3 linked regions of the Oryzias latipes genome follow. The protein of the gene in region 3 binds, or shares a complex with, the protein of the main gene of each other region. Links are inferred from orthologs where the notes say so. Each region holds a gene or a part of one and is shown on either strand. Other genes may lie near its edges.

Evidence for each region.
Region 1: exosc4 (region 3) and exosc9 share a complex: the UniProt entries of both Homo sapiens proteins name them as parts of the RNA exosome core complex. The link is inferred for Oryzias latipes from reciprocal best matches to the Homo sapiens genes EXOSC4 and EXOSC9.
Region 2: exosc4 (region 3) and exosc1 share a complex: the UniProt entries of both Homo sapiens proteins name them as parts of the RNA exosome core complex. The link is inferred for Oryzias latipes from reciprocal best matches to the Homo sapiens genes EXOSC4 and EXOSC1.

What each region holds. Positions count from the first base shown.
Region 1 is NC_019859.2:5,412,062-5,416,341, reverse strand, and holds the start of exosc9 (exosome complex component RRP45), read left to right. Parts: upstream 1-1,352; 5' UTR 1,353-1,794; coding exon 1,795-1,860; intron 1,861-2,289; coding exon 2,290-2,384; intron 2,385-2,466; coding exon 2,467-2,586; intron 2,587-2,670; coding exon 2,671-2,773; intron 2,774-2,844; coding exon 2,845-2,982; intron 2,983-3,055; coding exon 3,056-3,138; intron 3,139-4,280. UniProt on the Homo sapiens protein: Non-catalytic component of the RNA exosome complex which has 3'->5' exoribonuclease activity and participates in a multitude of cellular RNA processing and degradation events.
Region 2 is NC_019859.2:28,382,525-28,385,532, reverse strand, and holds part of exosc1 (exosome complex component CSL4), read right to left. Parts: intron 2,860-3,008; coding exon 2,771-2,859; intron 2,704-2,770; coding exon 2,670-2,703; intron 2,605-2,669; coding exon 2,554-2,604; intron 2,480-2,553; coding exon 2,395-2,479; intron 1-2,394. UniProt on the Homo sapiens protein: Non-catalytic component of the RNA exosome complex which has 3'->5' exoribonuclease activity and participates in a multitude of cellular RNA processing and degradation events.
Region 3 is NC_019875.2:26,759,888-26,763,524, forward strand, and holds exosc4 (exosome complex component RRP41), read right to left. Parts: upstream 2,356-3,637; 5' UTR 2,292-2,355; coding exon 2,121-2,291; intron 1,366-2,120; coding exon 1,159-1,365; intron 1,074-1,158; coding exon 717-1,073; 3' UTR 601-716; downstream 1-600. UniProt on the Homo sapiens protein: Non-catalytic component of the RNA exosome complex which has 3'->5' exoribonuclease activity and participates in a multitude of cellular RNA processing and degradation events.

The sequences.
Region 1 (4,280 bases), on a different chromosome or scaffold from region 3:
TTTGCTGGTGTTTTATATAAACAAAAATAACGGTTAGGGCTCGGTGGAGGAGCTAAAACATGGCTGCCGGGGAGCAGCGCAGAGCCCAGACTGTCCCTGAACTGCCCCGGCCGCAGCACCTGCTCCGCGGGCTACAGCTAACACAGCAGGACCGCCACAAGTTAGCGCAACACGAGCTTCGCTGACACCCGAACACGCGCGGAAGACGGATGTAAGCACGCGCTGACGCAAAACAAGAGGCAGCAGACATTTAACGTGATACAACAGAAAAGATAAAACGTTTTATCTGAAGACCACGAATGAATGAAAAACAAACGCTAGCTTGCTAGCCACAACGTTGCGCGCGCGCGCGCGCCCATGATGAATGGAGTGGAGTGAATGAGCGTGCGCACACAAACCGTCCTTACGTCCTCTCTTGCAGCTCGTTATTATATTTGAAAATGGTTGTTGTTGTGTTCTGCCCTACGGAGAAGGGCACAAGAGTGATCTGAGGTTGAAGAGCGGAGTCTCCCTTGAGAAACGGAGGGGAAACACGGCTGGATGGATGGACCGTGAGTGACAGTTAGCCCGTATAACGGTACTGGACGTGCGCAGTAGACACAGAAGGGGAAGCACGACTGATGCGTTCAAATGCTCAAGCCAAAAATCCGAACCCAAGCTGTCATTCGCTCATTTGTTTTTATGCATGCTTGTTATAATTTTTTTAAATAACATCATCAAGGATTTGTTCACATCTGTTTCCTTTTTTTTCAGACCGATGAACATAAAAAGCTTTTAAGATGTACTACTGGCTATTTTTAATTGCCATATAAGGAAAATGTGGTGTGATTGGTTAATATTTGATTTAACAATACATAAAAAATAATTTATTCTTTAATAAACAGAACACAGCTTTGGTTGTATATATTTGTAAATACAGAAAATTGAATGCATTGTTAGTCAAAGGTTATATTCATAGAGGAAGAAAAAGAAAAACATGTATTTAGAATTCAAGTCTACAGGACTTTAATTGGGGGAAAATGGCTTGAGCTTAAAAGAAGTTCCCCTTTACATTTCTTATGTTTATGTTAAGACAAACTAAACAAACAGCAAACATTTATTCAATGTTTAATATTAAATAAATTTGACAGCCAAATAGAATTTGCAAAGATCAAGGGATTGAAATTCTTTGTATACACATTTATCATTTCTTTTAGTATTTTTATGCAGTTAATTAAGCACGTGTATTAAATGTATTCTTAAAAAATTGTCAAGTTAAAATACAAAACCAATTATATTGCAGAAGACAAAAACTTGAACAATGTAATTTCCAAGTTGACCCCAACGCAGCACCGATCGCAACTGTCGTAAACACTTTTTACACTCGTCTGACCGCAGGAAATGCAGATATTTTATATAAATTATAAGGATATATTTTTGGGTTTGTAAAATAATACAAAATTATTTCTTGTACTGAAATAATTGTTGCCTTTAATGTGAAAACAAATAATTGGTTGATTCAACCTGCTGTGTATTTGATGCTGGCGTCTTCTGTTTCCATCTATTTAGTTTGAAATAATATGAATTTGTACGAAACCATAAATAAAATGCTACAATTCAAAATTAAGATAATTTTTAACATTAAAACCATGTTTAATCCAGCATTGGACTCAAACCATATTCGAGCCTTTACTGTCGTAAAACGTACACAGCTGCGCATGCGCGCCTAGAACCGGATAAACATAAACGTGCCCGCGTGGTTTTCAAAGAATCTAATCATTTCAAAATAACTCCAAACAGCCTGAAATCCACACGATGAAAGAAACACCGCTGTCCGCCTGCGAGCGGGACTTTATACTGAAAGCCATCGAGGAGAAAAAGGTTTGTTTTCGTTCCTCGGTAACAGTTCCCTGATGACTACTGTGTACAACAACATTTTATTAAAAGCGTAGTTGTTTAACAGTTCGGTAAAACTCCGGGAAGGTGGTTTAATTTAGAAATCTTCAAGAGAAGAGGGAAAAATGCGACTTTTGCAGCATCAATGATTGATTTACTGATTTTAATACAAAAACTGTGCATTTAATTGATTAATTTTTGTACTTCTGTGGCCTTGATCACTGCAAGGTTCCGTATGCTGCTCGTCTTAGTGACAATCTGGATATTATAATGTGAGAAAAATATATTTCTGTGTTTTTTTTAATATATTCATATCCAGCCTAACTGCTTCACTCTCTGCTGGTGACTGAATAGAAAAAGTGAGATGGGAAGAGTTTAAGGGAAAACTATCACGTTGTCTTTTTTTCCGTGCAGCGTCTGGACGGACGGCAGACCTACGACTACAGAAAGATCAAGATCAGCTTTGGGACGGACTACGGCTGCTGCTTTGTGGATTTGGGACAAACCAGGTGAGCCCCAGGTTCTCTTTGTGGGGAAAACCGGACGTGGTGCGTTTGATGTCGCTCAGTCATCGGAGCTTTGTGTTTTCAGGGTCATGGCCCAGGTATCTTGTGAGCTGGTTGCACCAAAGGAGAGCCGCCCGAATGAGGGAATCATGTTTTTTAACATCGAGCTGTCACCTCTGGCCTCGCCAGCTTTCGAGCAGGGAAGGTTGGTTTTGGATCACATGACCTTATAGTTTTGTGCCTCGATTGTCTCTGTGTGGCTCATTTTTTGTTGTTTCGCCACATCCAGACAGTCGGAGCTGTCCGTGAAGCTGAACAGACAGTTGGAAAGATGCCTGAGGAACTCCAAGTGCATCGACACGGAGTCCCTGTGCGTGGTGTCCGGAGAAAAGGTCATTCCCACAAACCTGTGCGACTCGCAAAGCGACGTCTGCTTTCCTCTGAAACGCGTGTGTTCGCCCAGGTGTGGCAGATCAGGGTGGATGTCCACATGCTGAACAACGACGGGAACCTGATGGACGCCTCCAGCATCGCCGCCATCGCCGCTCTGTGCCATTTCAGGCGGCCCGACGTAGCCGTCCAGGGAGAGGAGGTCACGGTGGTGAGGGAGCAGCCCCAGCAGGAGGCGGCGTTTTCTCATCTGTCGGTTTACATTGTTGCTTTTCCCGTTTCAGTACAGCCCAGAGGAGAGGGATCCCATTCCTCTTAGCATCTACCACATGCCCATTAGTGTCAGCTTCTCCTTCTTCCAACAAGGGTAATAATCCACTTCTCCTGATTCATCCCCAACTCCTGACCATAAACTCACTATTCAAACTATCAATTGGAGATCACATGATCGGAAATCACAGTTTCAGACTTGATCGGAATTTATTTTTTATTATTTTAATTCAAGCTTGTTTTTTTTCTCCAAATAAACGTCCTACTCAAAATCTGCCGACCATGAACGCATCACGACATTTTACGCAGCGGAATAGGGCGTCATTTTGAGCAGGAGGCAAGATATTCCCACATTTAGGCTTCCAGGCTCTTTAAAGAAACATTTTAAGCTGACAAACAAGTGTTTCTATTGGTTTGTCTTAACTCACACAACTACTTTCGACGGCATCGTGAACTCTGATCATCTTTTGATCGCAGTGGTCTTTTTAATTATGTTTTTTTAGGCAAAATCACAAAACCTGTATCGTTTTCTAGGACATAGTTTCTGCAGAGCGGCTGCAGTTGTCTTGTGGGGCGGGAGTTTTGGTGTGGAGTAACCCCGCCCCCCTTCCCCATCATAAATCTTTTTACAGGCTCTCTGGCTAGCTTACAGCCCCCTCTCAAACCCAAGGTAGCATTGCCGGTGAGACATAGAGACGTACGTGGATCTGTACAGAGCTGGGAGCTTCTGGCTTGCCGTAGTAACGTGTTAAAAGGGTTTTTCCAACTGCATATTTTGTCAGCTCCTAATTACAAAAAAAATTCTCAGAAATGCAATTTTTAGCTAAATCTTCTTTTTCTATGTCTTCAATCATGAGAAAACACTACAAGAACACGTTATAAACACCACTTTCATCAAAGTGGGTCTTTAGTGAGATTCATGGTGTGTCCAAATTCGAGGGCTGCTTCCTTCAATAAACTACCTTTAATTAACTACAATAGGCCGGATGTGAACAGCTGTGAATTTGGATGAGCCTAACCGTTTGAATTATTCCAGCCGTTGCATCTGCGAATGTCCCGTCGCCTAGCAACCGCGAGTCCAGAACAGAGAGGAGAAGTGAACCAGGCATGGAGCTCAAATTTTCCTGGCTAATTCGATCTAACTTTTAATCTGGGAGGTGTAACTATAAGAAGGTGTAATTATCTCACAGTCCGCCATCGTTTTTAGAAAAATCTCTGGGTTCGGCAGCAATGCATCTT
Region 2 (3,008 bases), on a different chromosome or scaffold from region 3:
GATTCGACTAGAGAAGTTAACCGGAAGTTCTGTCGTGCACGACAGAACTTCCGGTTAACTTCCGTGTTTCGAGTGTGAGGCCGACAACTACCTGTTGGTCGTGTTAGTGTTGTGGGGAGTTTTGTTGAGTTGCTAGTTTTGAGTAAATAGGAGCAGATTTCGGGTAAAAGAAAGGAGTTTGGTGTTTCAACGCGTGACAAAGACATCACAACATTGTTGTGTATACCCGTGTGCGAATTTGTCAAAGTACAACAGTACTAATATAAGCTTTCATAGCTTTCCAGTATATGTGTCGGTGAGAGCCGAATGATGGTGAACACGGCGGGAGGACTTCACCCCAAACAAGACGAGTCGTGTTTCGTATTTGCAGCAATCGGAAAGAAAATACGTCATGTAAACACACCGTTCGGAATACTTTGCCCCGGTCAGACTCGTTTGGATCAAAATTTCTTTCCGATCGAGATAGCTGGGTATACCGATCGTTGTTCATGTAAACGGTCATTCCGATCGTGTGTCACTGCTGCTCTGGGTTACGTCATGCATTGACGGTGTTTCGCTGAGAGAAAGCTTTGGAGCTCATACGGGACCGACCAGCGGCTCTGCGGACGCCCCGCGTAAAGCGCCGCTCCGCTCTCGCCCCGCTGGGTCTCCCCTCTCTTTCACCCCTCACGAGGGAGATGCGGGGGGGGGGGGGGGGGGTGCGTGTCCACTGACGTCTGAAACCCAGCATCCGAGCTCTGCGTTCGGGCTCCGGAGCCAGTGGACCGAATGAACCTCTGACTGAGCAGATCAGCTGGATTTATTAATGTGTTTGAGGGGAGGGTGCTTTGTTACGTGTGCGTTTTGTTATGTGTGAGAATTCGGACTGCGAGCCGAGCCGCCGCTCTGGGTTAGCGGCTGCCGGACTCGCGAGGACAGAGCAGAGCTCGAGCGGCCAGCTTACACAGCCGTCACGGGGCAGTGTGTGAGCTTTACAGAGCAGAAATGCCGCTCAGTCCTTAGAAACTGTTCAAAAAATCACGACACATGGAATCGTGTTTCTAATTGTGCCCCGACAAATAAAGGCTGATGTTGTTAGCCCGTGTTGTTAGCCTATCCTAACACTGGGTTGTTCTTCAGTTCTGTTCTTCTTCCACAAAAAAAAAAAAAGCACTGACCACAAGGATTAAATATAAAATGATGATCGAACAGGCACTTCATAATATTCATAAAATTAATAAAAGCACGTTTGGAAGATCGCCTCGTATATTACCGAGCTGCTGCATAAATATGTGACAGCACAGGTTTGTTTACAACGGGACACATTTCCTTTCGGTATTTTGTACACTATATTTTTCGACACGATATTTTGCCCATGTAACCACGCACTGGTCGACAATCCTATAGATGTCGTTCACGTCGATTTTCGGGAGACCTTGTAGAAAACGGGTGAAATATGCCATCTTTCGCAATCAAAATCTGCCGTGTCGCTGCTATAGAAGTCGCAAGCCGGAAATGGTCGGCCTCACACTCAAGGCGGCGGAAGTAGAACTCCTTACTTTCGTGCACGGAGCCTATTCCATCCGTCTATGTCACTCTTGACGCAGGCCAAGGTTCTCTTCTCGGTCACGTGATAGGATCCCGCTAAAATAAAACCCAGGAGCTGGCAAAATTAGTAAAAAACAAACGTCTTTGGAAAGTGTGAAAAGGGGAAAAACGCCCAGCCAGGAGACAGAAGAGGAGCCTTTGCACCAGGAGTGTAGGAAGGGGAGAAGATGATGACACCTGAGTGACGTCCGTGTCAAAATGAAAGCACGGATTCTTCTTGTCATGCCTGCGCTTTAACTTCAGTGTAGCGTTGCTACAATAATTGTCGGCCACATCATATAGACCGGCCCGTGAAAACTTTGTATGACGTCATACCGGTCCGCGGCGTTAAAAAGGTTAGAGTTTATGTCAGCACAAACATAAAAAACTGAAACCAACGCAAAGCACACAAATGCCAAGACAAAATCAAACTGACAAACTCACACACCAACACATCCTAACACAAATGCTAACACACATTCACACACATCCATGCTAGAACAAACTCGCATGTTAACACACATACACACCAACATAAATCCTCATACAAATGCTAATAAATACGGGTGCATATAAATAACCCTTCTGTTATCTTGTGGGGTCCAGATGACACGCTATTCACGCACACACGCCAACTCTACCTCACACACACAAACTTGCACACATATGCGCTGACCCAAACACACACAGACATGGCTTTTCTTCCACATATGAGGGCAGGCGAGGACAGAGGATGACATAAATTCTATTTTGTAATATTTCGAACTCCCGTCTGACCCGGTGGTTGAACACCGCCGTCCCGTCACAGCAGGGTGACCGTGCGCTCACCTGCGTCGCTGTGCGCCACCACCACTCCGAGCTCGTTCTCTGCAGTGGTCAGCAGGTAGTTGGACTGAACGTCTCCCAGAGAAATCTAGCGTCAGGTTAAGGTCTGCCATGCCAGCTTCTGAGCTTTGTGCGCGGAGCATCAAGAAATATGAAGGATACCACTTTGGCCAGAACAATGTCCCCAGGTCTAAAGCTTCTGTGCATCTCCACCTAAACAAAGCTCAACGTCAGACCAGCAAGGACGGACGGCGCCGGGCCAAACGGATCTCGCTCACCTTATCTTTCTCTGTGGCGCGAACGTCTTCTTTCCTGAACACACAGAAGAGCGTCAGACAGCACTAAAACAGCCACATCTGCTGCGTCCACTCTGCCTCACCTGATGGTTCCTCTGAACAGGTCCTTGAGCGGCGTGGAGCCCACATACAGGATGTGCACTTTGGCGAACCTGGAATTGATGCTCGTCACCTGTAACATGAAGGATCTGACAATTAAAATGTGTGCTTGATGTACTCACATATTCAGACTAGAAGCTTCTGGGATTCAAACAACTTTCTCTGGCAGGGAGAAGTCCAGCATCTGTCCCACAAAACCTAACCAACTATGTGGAAAACATC
Region 3 (3,637 bases):
TGTGATTATTTAAACTTAGTCACGCATCTTTTTGTAATAATCAGTGAAAATGTACTTTAATATGCAATAATTCTAATAAAGATTTATGTAAGAAAAGTTACTTTAAAAAGTAAGTTACATTAATACCAATTTTGTTTCAGCAGGTAAAGAAAATGATAGATTATTCAGCCTCAACGGACTGAAACTCTTACAAAACATGTATTGTATTGTGACATAAAAATTACTTTTACAACAAACAAAAGCAAAAGCAGAATAGCCTGTCTGCAAAACAAATCAAAGAAAATTAATCTAAAAAAAAAAGACTAAACACATGAACAGAGCATTTCATTCAGGAATAAAAAGTATTGTTTTGGTGAAAATTTGTAAGATATCAACACAGCTAAATAAATTGGATATAAGAATTATCTAATTTTTCACAAATTGTTTACTCTTACGGATGTGTGGTTTAAAATAAAGGTTCTTATTGTATCAGTCTGAAAACAAAGCTTTATTATCTGTTTATATATAAAATGCTGATGTTGCTGTTTCAGTTGATCACATTGATTTTTGCATCAAAAACAGGTCAGTTTTCAGCTAATAAAACAAATGCAAATACAAAGAAACGATATACATTCACATTTATTCTTTATGCACAAATATACTTAATAAAATGTTAAGAATGACGACAAAATAAGTGTTGATCCCAGGAAACCATTTGTTTACTCTTTCCTTCACCATTATTCTCTGAGCGTAGAACCTTCTTGGAGATGTTGCCTGACCACCTGGTCCAGGACTTTGCTCACACCTTTACAAGCGGTCATTGCCGCCTCAATCAGAGTGTCGAGGTGATCCTGATGCAGTCTGGCATCCATCTGGACCAGAGCGATCTGCCCTCCGCGGGGCAGAAGCGCCAAAGCCAGAGAGCTCACTCCTCCGCTCTCCTCTGCGTAGCAAAGATCGGCAAGAGAGGTTTCATCCACGAAGCCCACTGTGCAGGCGCACACATAGTCCCTCATCGGTATCCCTGCGTCGATCACTGCCAGTGTGGCGGCGTTCACACAAACGCTGTAGTTCCCCCCGTCGGACTGAAGAATCTTGAATGATGAAAACGTTCTTAAAACAATGACGAAAACAGATGCTATGAAGTAGAGCGCAGTATACTATAAATCTAAGGCCAACCTTGACATAGATGTCTATCTGGGAGCGTGGGTAGAGCTGGGTCAGCACGGCAGCTTCAAACGTTTGCTTGAGGTGAAGGCTCATTTCTGTGGACTTGCGGTCTCCGTGCGGTCTCCTCTTCCTCTCCGCCGTGCTGAAGGTGGCCATGCTGTACTGGCAGTTGATAATGGCTCTGTCATGAAGAGCCCGACTACGAGCACCTCGAATCTGAATGGGAAACAGGAAGTAAGCATAGGAGAACCATAAAAAAGGTCTGACATTTTTCACAGGGCGGCATACATCTGTCCTTTGAGTAAAACAGCTTTTTAATCCATCATCAGAGGTAAACCAGACAATAAAAACGCCAGACATGGGAGAGTTTGAGGTCAACGGCACAGATGAGCAAAAACAACATCTCAGGTTTTCCATCAGAAATATCGATGTTCTACAAGATTTAGGAAAGACTTTCAGGACAGAAAAGATAACCGTGAAACATTTTGGGTGATGTGCCTCGCATCACTCTAGTGTAAAACATTGCACAAACAGTCAAACATGGTGGTAATGGTGTCATGGTAAGGGGCTGTTATATTTGGGGCTTGGAATACTTTTGGTAAATGAATAAATTAACCAACAAATCCTCAAATTAACTTGGATTTCTCAGCAAGTCAAAGATTCAAAAGCAGTAAGTTTACCTCAGAATAGCATAACAAGTTCAAAAACTCTTGAATGCAGTTGTTAGTAAGTACTGTGTGACCGAGCCAGATAAGTAAACATTTTGTGTTACTGATACAATAAAATGCTTTGAAGGAAACGTATTATACTAAAATCATTACATTAATGTAAAATATCCCTTTAAATCTGACACATTACATAGAAATATCTTAATCCTTCATTAAACGCAGTTTGCACCGTTTCTTTGGCTGCCATGAACAGACTGGTGGTGTTGTTTTTACGTCACTTCTCCACGCGCGCGCGCCACTCACTTCATGCGGGCCGTAAACCACCGCCAGAGCTTTGGTGTTTCCTTGCTCCAGATACGCGGAACCGTCGGCCTGAGCGAACACCCCCATGCGGGCCTGGACTTTGCGCAGCTCGGTAGCTTTTCTTCCATCCAACCGGTATCCTTGATCAGACAGCAGCTCCAGACCCGCCATTTTCCCTAGCTTAACTACACGACAACACACGTGTCTACTGATGTACTACATTAACCATCATCCTCTTCGAGCAGTTACAGCAACGTCGGAAGAAAGTGTCGCAAAAAAGATTTCCATATTTATTTTACTTAGATGGTTTAGTAACAACTTCTTACTGGAAAAGTAGCCTAACGAAACATTTAGAAAGCCTTTTTTCTTATTTTATATTATTTTTAAATCTAACTGATACGTCAGAACAAAAGAAGTAGATAAATGCGGAACTACTAGTACGCGAGTCAAAACTAATTAATAAAATAAATTAAAATCAGGAGCTGAGAAATTACACACGGCATGCAGTTTTTACATTTAAGAATTCTGACTTTAATCTCACGACTCCGATTTTTAATTTAAAATTACAAGATAAAATAAGACTTTAAGCATTTTAAGTTTTAGGAATTCAGATTTATAAATATTTTCAACACAATAAACACTTCATTTAATGTCAGAGTATTGACATAATCTGATAAAGATTAATCATGATTTTAATAACTATTGTTTTTTCTTGGGAATGTCAATTTTAAAATACTGTCTTTAAATATAGAATTTTGATATTAGAGTACAGCAACATTTTCTGAAATTACTATAAGAATTCTTTAAAGGACACCTGCAGATTTTCTCATTTTCTTTTATTTTATTAATTTTTGCCCCTGACATCTTGACAAGTTTTACAGGCGCTGCAGTTTGTTTTATCTTCTGTCTGAAATCAGAACCCAAGTCAAAGTATATTTATTTTTCCAAAACATCTTGGTTTTCAAATTTTAAAAAGTAAATCCAGTGTTAATCTTTTTAAATAAAATGTTTTAGCATTTTTGTAAATTATACAGAAGATATATTTTCATTTCTGATGTTAAAAAGGATTCAATTCTATTGTCATTTATTTTTCTAGTTTAATTTTAATATTTTTGAGCGCCAATCGTTCGTGATCATTTTAAATCAGATCAACATCTTTCACTTTTTCATATTTAAAAAAAAATTTGTGTTAAAGCATTTGATAATTTACAAATATGAAGTAGACTTACCTTGTAATGCCATATTTAAAATAAGTTTTTTGTGTGTTTTTAAATTGATTACAGAGTAAAGCTTTTCACCTTTTAAAACGTGTTTAAATTGACTACATTTTGGCCTGCTTTGTTAATATTTCAGTCACACAAACTGCCTGCCAGCATTTCACTTTAAAGCTTTTATCAGATCTCAGACGACATTCCAGCCTCATCTTCCATCTCTTCATTCTGTTTGTTGCTTCATTTGTTGTCTTTTTACCTTTAGATTTGCTTTAATATCGCATTTAACATCAAAATCCTTTCCAT